Linked DNA regions of Oryctolagus cuniculus. The protein of the gene in region 1 purifies or fractionates together with the protein of each later gene. This does not show direct contact. Links are inferred from orthologs where the notes say so. Each region holds a gene or a part of one and is shown in the gene's direction. Other genes may lie near its edges.

Evidence for each region. The genes of interacting proteins can lie anywhere in the genome.
Region 2: the proteins of DUSP10 (region 1) and MAPK9 purify together in Homo sapiens (affinity purification with mass spectrometry; 3 studies listed by BioGRID and IntAct, with this or other methods). This does not show direct contact. The link is inferred for Oryctolagus cuniculus from reciprocal best matches to the Homo sapiens genes DUSP10 and MAPK9.

Annotation. Positions count from the first base shown.
Region 1 is NC_091444.1:36,078,645-36,082,773, reverse strand, and holds the start of DUSP10 (dual specificity protein phosphatase 10), read left to right. Parts: upstream 1-1,327; 5' UTR 1,328-1,852; exon of another isoform or gene 1,853-1,957; intron 1,958-2,033; exon of another isoform or gene 2,034-2,554; intron 2,555-3,972; 5' UTR 3,973-4,015; coding exon 4,016-4,129. Other genes in the region: uncharacterized protein, read right to left, coding at 358-1,200. UniProt on the Homo sapiens protein: Protein phosphatase involved in the inactivation of MAP kinases. Has a specificity for the MAPK11/MAPK12/MAPK13/MAPK14 subfamily. It preferably dephosphorylates p38.
Region 2 is NC_091437.1:67,213,525-67,217,670, forward strand, and holds the start of MAPK9 (mitogen-activated protein kinase 9), read left to right. Parts: upstream 1-1,343; 5' UTR 1,344-1,537; intron 1,538-4,146. UniProt on the Homo sapiens protein: Serine/threonine-protein kinase involved in various processes such as cell proliferation, differentiation, migration, transformation and programmed cell death.

The DNA of each region.
Region 1 (4,129 bases):
GGACTGTGTATGGGCCTGCACTTATGCAGAGGTGTCCAGGGGGATTTCTTCCAACAGCTCAGTGGGCACAGTTGGCCAGCTAGTCATGGCTTGACCCCTCCTGGTTTCAGACCCACATTGCAAGCAATTATATAAATATGCCCTACCACTTAGTCTATTTGTTAGGCCTGGAGACTGAAGCCTTTCTCTAAATACCTCCAATCAGTTAATGAAGAGACAGAGAGGGGGAGAAAAAAAAAATCACAGCCATCTATTTCCATAGTGTTCATCCTGTTTTACTGCATCGTCATTATTTCGCTTTGTGCCCCCTCCTCCCTGAGACAGGGGTGCAGGGGAGGGAGAAAAAGCTCTCTTTCTTCAGGATTCTTTGTTGTAATATCTCCACAGTTCATCTGGGTTTTTCCAATCCGTTTTGTTTTCCAGGGCAACTTTCCTGAAATTCTCCTGGCATTTTCCTGAGGCGGCGACCAGCAGCTTGCCCCGGCCCCGACTCGTGTCCCCTGCGCACCGGCAGGGGACCCTTCTGCCGGCCCAAGTCGGGGGCACGGCGAGCGGCGGCGCGGGCTCCTCGGCGCTCCTCCGGCTCCGTGCAGCCAGGCTGTGGACGCTGGGCTCCGGCTCTTTGCCGCCCGCGGCCGCTGTTCCAGAAGCGCCGGGCTGGCGGTCCTCCGCTCGCCGGGGACCGTGCTGGGTGGAGGGGCGGCGGCCGAGGCCAGCACGGCAGGCGGGCTGCGGAGACCCGACGCGCCGCGGGGGAGACGGGGTGGGCGCCCACTGGGGCGAGGTTCTGGGGCCCTGGGCGGTGCGCTGCGGGGCGCGGGGCGCCGGGCCCAGGGGAACCGCAGCGGTGCAGCGGCTCAGCGCCCGACCGCGGTCGTAGCGGACGTGGCCCCAGGCCTCTGCCTCCTCCGAGCAGCCCTCCGCCGCGCCACCTGTGAGCTCAGGGTCGAGCCCGGGGGCCCAGGCAGGCGACGGCGGGGGCGTGACCGGGTCGCGGATACCGGAGAACAAGAAGGAGGCGCGCTGCCGCTGCGCGGGGTACCAGTGGGGCCGCCGGTGGGGCAGCGACATCTGCGGGCCGCCCGGAGGAGGAGGGGCCGAGTGGCCGCCGGCCCGCGGCGGCTCCGGAGTCGGGGCCCTCGGTGCGTGGCCCAGGGCGGGCGGGGAGGGGGCGCCGCTCGCGGGCGGGCTCCGAGGCATCCCAGGGGGGGAGTCTTGGCAAAAGTGGGCGAATCCCGGGGAGGGTCTGTCAGGTCACAGCTCTCCCAGGTGGAGCCGGAGGTTGTCCGTGGTCCCCGGCCTTCAGAAAGTTACTCCGGCACTTTGGGCCGTCAGTCCAAAGGAGGGAGGAGAGATGAGGAGGCCGCGCGGCGGGTCTCAGGGCGAGGGGCGTGTGGACGGAGGATCCGGTCGAGGAGGGAAGAGCCTGGTTTAGCCCGAGCCGCCCATTGACAATTCAGCCCCGGAAAGGGTTAAGGCGGCGGGCCGCGCCGGCTTACATGTAAATAGAGAGCAGCTGCTCCGCGCGGGCCCCGGCTGGCTCTTTTAAGTTTTTGATTGGTTGCCAATGACATCACCGCCCGTGTTCTAACACAGAGGACCTGGAGCCGCGTCGGATAAACCCGCCCTGACGAGGCGAGGCCACGCCCACAGCTCCGCCCCCCTCGGCCGCCCATTGGCCGCGGGCCTCTATGAGGTAGCGGTCGGTTTTCTCCGGATTCCTACTGGCCCAATGCGCCGTCGGTCGCAGGCCAGCCCGCCCCCTCAGAATCTTACATTTACAGTGTAGCAAAAGAGAAAGTAACTATGTTGCTGCTGGAGATCAATGAAGCCAAGTGAATGGGGGCTGAAGGTGCGAGTCCTTAGCTGAAACCGAGCGCCGGGGGGTGGAAGGCTACACTTATTGATGAAGTAAGTGGAAGTCGCCGGGGCCACTCTGGAGAGCCCGGGAGTGGAGGTGCGTGTCTGTGCGTGTGTGTGTGAGTGTGTGTGTGTGCGTGAGAGAGGGGAGAGGGAGGCGCGATGCTGACCGAGGAGCCCCAGCAGGTACGCTTCCGAGCTTGGGGCTCCTGGCCCCGCTGCCCGGTGCGATTACTCGCCCTGCAGCCTACTCGAGTCGGGGGGCGAAGCAAAAGCGAGGTTTGTTGGGATGCTTTGCGGCAGTTCTACTAAATGCCCGGGGCTTCTCCACGCGCCGTGCGGCGGCGAGGAGGGGGCCACGTTCCGTGCCCTCGGAGCGGGCAAGGAGCACGGGCTAATCACTTAGTTTTTCTTTCCAGCCCCTGCCTAGCGGCGGAAGGGCGGCTGGCCAGGGCAGGGGGGCTCAGTTCGAGGTTTCTCCGGGAGGTTTCCTGGGCCAGACTGGATGGTTTCACGCGCAGCACAGACGCCCGACCGTCTGCTGCAGGGCTGCAGATCTGTCCGCACGCCCGGTGCGTGTGTGCGGGCCGCGCACCCCGTGTGGAGGCGGGGGTCCCGGCGCGCGAGCCTGCGGAAGCGCTGGCGCGCCCCTCTCGGAGGAAGCAGACTGTGGATCCTGGACGTGCCCCACCAGGTAACACAATAGCAAAGACTTCGGCTGCTTGGTCCCGCTGGGACACAGTTACAGCTTTTAGAATATGGAATAGTACTCGCTCCTCCAAAAAAAAAAAAAAAAAAATACTACGCATACGCAAGGGAGCAGTGTGTGTGAGAGAGCGACACCCGAGTCAGTGGGGACCTGCGGACCTGGTGGTGGGTGCATGCCCCTATGTGCGCGCGTGTGTGTGCGGATTCCGCCTGTGAACACTTTGGCTCTGTGTCAGAGAATGGTGACGATCGTGTGTAGACGGATGATAGATGACATTTTTCCCGGACAGCTCTTGAAGTTCGTTTGGGTGAGCGGCTCTTGCTCGGGGTTTGGTTTCTTTGCTGTGTGCATGTCTGATAGAGGAGTCAGTGGGGTCGAGTTGTAGGGTGTCCCTGAGCCCACAGGTAGGAAGGGACCATTCCTGTTCAGGTGGTCTCTGAAGACATCAGGGGTAGACTCCTGGTCTCCACTTCCCTGCCTCCCTTCAACAGGGACACGCTAAAAGGGAAGTCTTTATCCCATCCTTACTCTCCAAGGGGCAGATATCTGTATGGGATTAAAATCCTATACAAAGCAGCTGCTACCCACTGAGAAAAGCTCCAGGATGCATAGCAGGGGAGATGAAGAGGGCAGGAGTGCAGGAAGGATGGGGGGGAGGGGTTTCCATAGATAACTCCTTCGCTTCAGATTTTGTTTTAGGACACCAGTGTTTAGTGCAAAGGGGGGGGGGGATGCAGATTAATTAATGAGGCTACCAGAAAGCCTGTGAGGTTTTAATATGACTATGTTGTGCGTTTCAAAGGACCCAACAGAATGGAAAGCAAGACTCGCTCCTGGCCAAAGAGGTTCACTTAGGGGAATCCTTTCCCTCTCAGGTGCAGAAAGTTGACATCCGCCCTAATGTGTATTTAGCTGCTGTATATTTCTGTAAGCCTTGGCAATGCTCTTCGTCATCCCTCTGGCTTTGCAGGGAGTGAAGGGATGAAGTGGGAAGCATTCGAAGGTAGGCAATCAGGGCTTTCTCAGTTGCAGAATCCTCTGCTCAGGGCGTGAGGCTCAAAATAGATGCCTCTTAAGAACCTTCCTTTCTGTCTTCAGCTTTCCTAATTCTTGGTGCTTGTACCTTCTCCGAGACTGAACTTTGATGTCAGTCCATGACAGGTTGCTCATTAACATTTACAACATTAAGTCTGAATCGAACCCTAGACTTCACAGCAAAACTGATGGGGGCCCTCAGATTTGCATCCTCCTATGAATACATCCAAGCTTTGATAGCGGCAAGATAAAGGGCACTTGGGACTACTCTGCTCCGAGGGATGCAAAGGCCTTTCCTAGGGATTGGATGAGACTGCCTTTTGTATCACGTGTTTTTATTCTTTCTTTCCCCTCCCCCTTCTTTACAGACTATCTTGAGTTCTTCTTGAATTGCCAGTTTTCAGCCTCCTCATGCCTCCGTCTCCTTTAGACGACAGGGTAGTAGTGGCACTGTCTAGGCCCGTCCGACCTCAGGATCTCAACCTTTGTTTAGACTCTAGCTACCTTGGCTCTGCCACTCCAGGC
Region 2 (4,146 bases), on another chromosome or scaffold:
CTTACAGAAACCTCAGTGACATATGCCTAATTGCATAAGCACAGACAGCAAACTTAGGTTACTTACCGTGCACCGGGTGACTGCTAAAAACCAGGCCCAAGTGCCTCTGGAAATCCACTGTCTCTTCCCAGCCTGGGGGGATGTGTCTATGCACATTTGCTCCTTGTTGGGACCTCATCTCTGATAGCCCGGCTTTTACTAGTTTCTCATCTTTTTCAGTAACGGCAATTTTAGGTTCCCTGTTTTCTCCTGAGCAGCTAGCTGAGGCAGGTGGCAGGAGCCCACCAGATGGGTCCATTTCAATGCAGACCACGTTCAGGAGCCGGGATTAGTGATACTCAATTTTAGAAAACTCCCCCTGGCGGCCATGGGAGGACACCACGGCTAGATCCCGTTCTCTGCCCCACCCCTCCTCTGAGGCCGTGGTGCCTGCACGAGCCCGGCCCTTCAGAACCTGGGTCACAGGCTCGCTTCTCTCCCCAGATTCTGCAACACTCCACCCCAGACCTGCAGGGTCCTGCTACTCCCCCTGCTCTGTGGACCTCGGCGTCCCGGGACTGCTGCCCCAGCTCCTTACTCACCACTTATCAATCACGGTCCCCAACTCTATCGGTGCCCGAAATCCGACGCCCCTAGCCCACGACTGGCCTCGGAGCTTTTCCCTCGGGGAGCCCCGCCTCCGCCCCTCATCCCAGCTGTACTTGTCCGGTCCCTAGGGGGCCCTTCTGCTCCCCCTGAGCCCTGTCAGCCAGCACACTCCCTCCTGCTCCTGTCGGCCGGGAAGACTGGTGCACGACGGTCATCTCCTCGCACCCTGCGCCTGAACCCTGACCTTTGGCCGCACCCCTAAACCCGTCCAGTGGGGCGTGCGTGCGGCACGTCCGCAGCGAGCTGAGTCCCAGGCGCCGCGCCTCCCTCCTCCTGTCTCCTTCCAGGTCGCCTCGCTGCTGGGCGCCTGCACCTGCAGCCCCGGGGCTCGGACCCACGAGTAGCCCCGGTCCTGAGGCGCCGCGCCTCGCCTGCGGCCCATCCTCTCTCGCCTCCTCCCGGCTCGGCGTTCGGCCGCAGCTCTGCGGACCCTCTTTGCCCGGAGAGAGGGGTCATCGGGCGACCTCAGCCACGCCCGTCTCTCCAGCCCACTACACGCCGCTACACGCCGGCACTGCCCCACGCCGCCTCCGGACCCTGCACCAGACCTCGGACGCAGACCCGGCCTGGCCTGGCCCCGCCCGAGTCGCCCGACAGCGGCCCGCCCCCTAGCGCGATTGGCCGCACCCGCCGGGCTCTCCGCGCACTGATTGGTGGAGTCACGGATCGGTCAGGCCGGGCGCCGCGGCGGCGGCGGCGGCGGCGGCTGAGGGGAAGGGAGCCGACCGGAAGGGTCGAAGCGCCCCGCGCCCCTCACACCCACTGCGGCGGCGGCGGCGGGGCGGAGCGGGGCGGGGCGGGGCGGCCAGCCTAGCCGGGAGCGGCCAGCGCGCAGCGCCGCCAGTGCGCCCGCCCGCCCTCTACCCCGGCGCGGCTGCAGGGAGGCGAGGTGAGCCCGAAGGGCTGGCTAGGCCCGGCGTGGGTGCTGGGGTCGGGCGCGGCGGGGAGCGGGGTGGGCGCGGGGCCTCTGGGGCCGGGCCTCCGGGGCTGGCGGGAGCCGCGGGGTTGCTGGCGGGCCGCAGCCCCTGCCCGCCCGTGCCGCAGTCGCCCCCTCCCGCCCGCTGCCAGCGGCGAGGACCGCGGAACCTGGCCCCGCAGACCTGCCCGCGGGGGTCTGTGGCCCCCTCCTCCAGGCGGGCCGCGCAGCTGCCCTCTCGCCCCGGATGCTCGGTGGTCCCCGCGACCTTGGATTAGGCGCTGGCTGCCCCTTCGGGAAAGTGGGGCCATGTCTGATCTTCAAGACTGGGCTGTCTGTGGGAGCACCTGGACGCAAGTCTGTGCACACTGGTGGACTATAGGGCCGGATACTGCCCCTTGCTGGCGTGAGTGTGGTGGGGGCCCCCTCCCCACCCATCCTGTGCCTTGTCATTGCGCGCCCAGTGCTCAGCTACGCGGAGCAGGCCCTGCCCACCACAGCTCTTCCCCAGAGCACTGCTCCCTGGGCCCGCTAATCCTCCCACCTGCCAGGAACTTGCTAACCTCCGTGTCCCCGGGACTTTGCACCTGCTGCCTCTCCTGTTTACGTCGCGTCCAGGACCTTTTTGTTCCTTGCTCTGTCCAGATGTCTCATTTTCAGCGAGGCCTTCCTCGGCTACCCTCTGCAAGGGATCATTCTGTCTTGTTATTTTGTTTCATTTTCTTCCTAGCACTCTGAGTTGAAACTGTTCTATTTATTTGCCTCTCCTTTTCTGTCTTCCCCCACTAGGCTGTAGCTTTCTGTAAACAGGTAGTTGTCTGATTTGTCTGCTTTCTCCTGGTACTTATAGAAAGCATACAGTAAGTATTTGATAGTCTCAGTTCAGCGAATGAATGAATGATGTAAGGAGCGTGCCTACCTGTTGTCTCTGCTTTACCTGTTCATTTAGTGACTTCTGAGTGACTTGTGAAACTCGGAAGCTTGTTCTCATTTTGTAGAACATCTTAACGTCCTTGACCTCTTTATTTGGTAACTATGGTAACGAGCTATGATATAAAATGTTACATCTTTATAATGGTTTAGCTCTAACGACCTCCTAGTAAATCCAGGAGACAGCCACTGAATTCTCCATTATCTAGGTCATGCTTTTTGCTGGGCCCTAGGGACACAAAGGAGAGAGCGACAGGGTCCCTTCCCCCAGAGAGCCTGGGAGCCCCGTGGAAAAGGCATGACGCACAGGGTTGGTTCCAGGACAGTGGATGATGCCTGCGGAAGGGTGGAGCAACAGGTGGTGCTGGTGGGCCTCCACGCTTGCCAGGCCAGGAGAGGTGCAAAGAGTGTGAAAGGGCAGGGCCAAGGAAGGAACCTAACGCTGTGTGGCGTTGGCCAGGTGTGGGAGCGTGTAGTGGTGGGGACCCTGGAGGAGGAGCCCCTCGCCCAGCAATTTTCTAAAAGAAGCTTCAATCCACAGTTGCACCTGCACTCTCCTGATTTCTCAATATTGGCAGTAGCTGTTTGTTGTTGTTGTTGTTGTTGTGAGCCTAGCCAAATACAGACCTCATTCAGCCTGGTTGCGGGATTGTGGTCCTCCAGGACGGACTGTGGGTGGGAGCCCGGCCTGCTCAGGTGCTTACTGAATTGTCCCTGGGGCCCTGGAAGGAGCAGCGAAGACACCTGTTTTCACAGAGGAAGAAAAGCCCAGAGTCCCTGCTCTGCAGCACAATCCCTCACAAGACGATGCTTCCCTGGGGCCCCCAGCCCTGCCTGTGCTCCTCTGGCTTCTAATTCGTTCTGAAACAACAACACTCAATCTGTGTAATGCTTTCCTCCATTTAACCTTTTATTCTCTTCAGAAGTAACCAGTGGGGTTAAAAAAAATCCTATTTTGGCATAGACTTCTGTGGAAAGCTTTCATTTGCCTGAGGATTTAACTTTCAGGATCCTGGGACTTTAAAATAATTTAGTGAAAGGGCATAACTTTGAAATAAGTGTTAAAGAGTAGAATTGAATGTTTCTATTTAAAATAAAATCAGGTTTCTGGCTAAAATATCAGGCAAAGTGATTGTTAGTAACCAGTTATTCCCTGATGTCTCAGGTAACCTAGAAGTCAGGGATTTTTCTTAAGAAGTGCTGATTTGGCTGCAAGGCAACTATTTTTGGTCTAAATATGTACCTGGACTTCACACTTGGCAAGAAAGTTTCCATTTTTATATTTTTATCGTTAATTCTTTTTTTTAAAGATTTATTTTTATTTATTTGAAAGAGTTACAGAGAGAGGTAGAGACAGAGAGAGAGGACTTGGGCCATCTGCCACTGCTTTCCCAGGCCACAGCAGAGAGCTGGATGGGAATTGGAACAGCCGGGTCTCGAACCGACACCCATATGGGATGCTGGCACTGCAGGCCAGGGTGTTAACCTGCTGCACCACAGCGCTGGCTCCCACCTAATAATTAATTCTTAATCATTTGTACTTGATTGTATGAACAAGGTTTCAGCATTAGTCTTTTAACTGTTTATGATAGTGACTCTGAAAAGACACAAAAAGAACGGTATCCAGCTTCAACAGTTAGAAACCCTGGCTG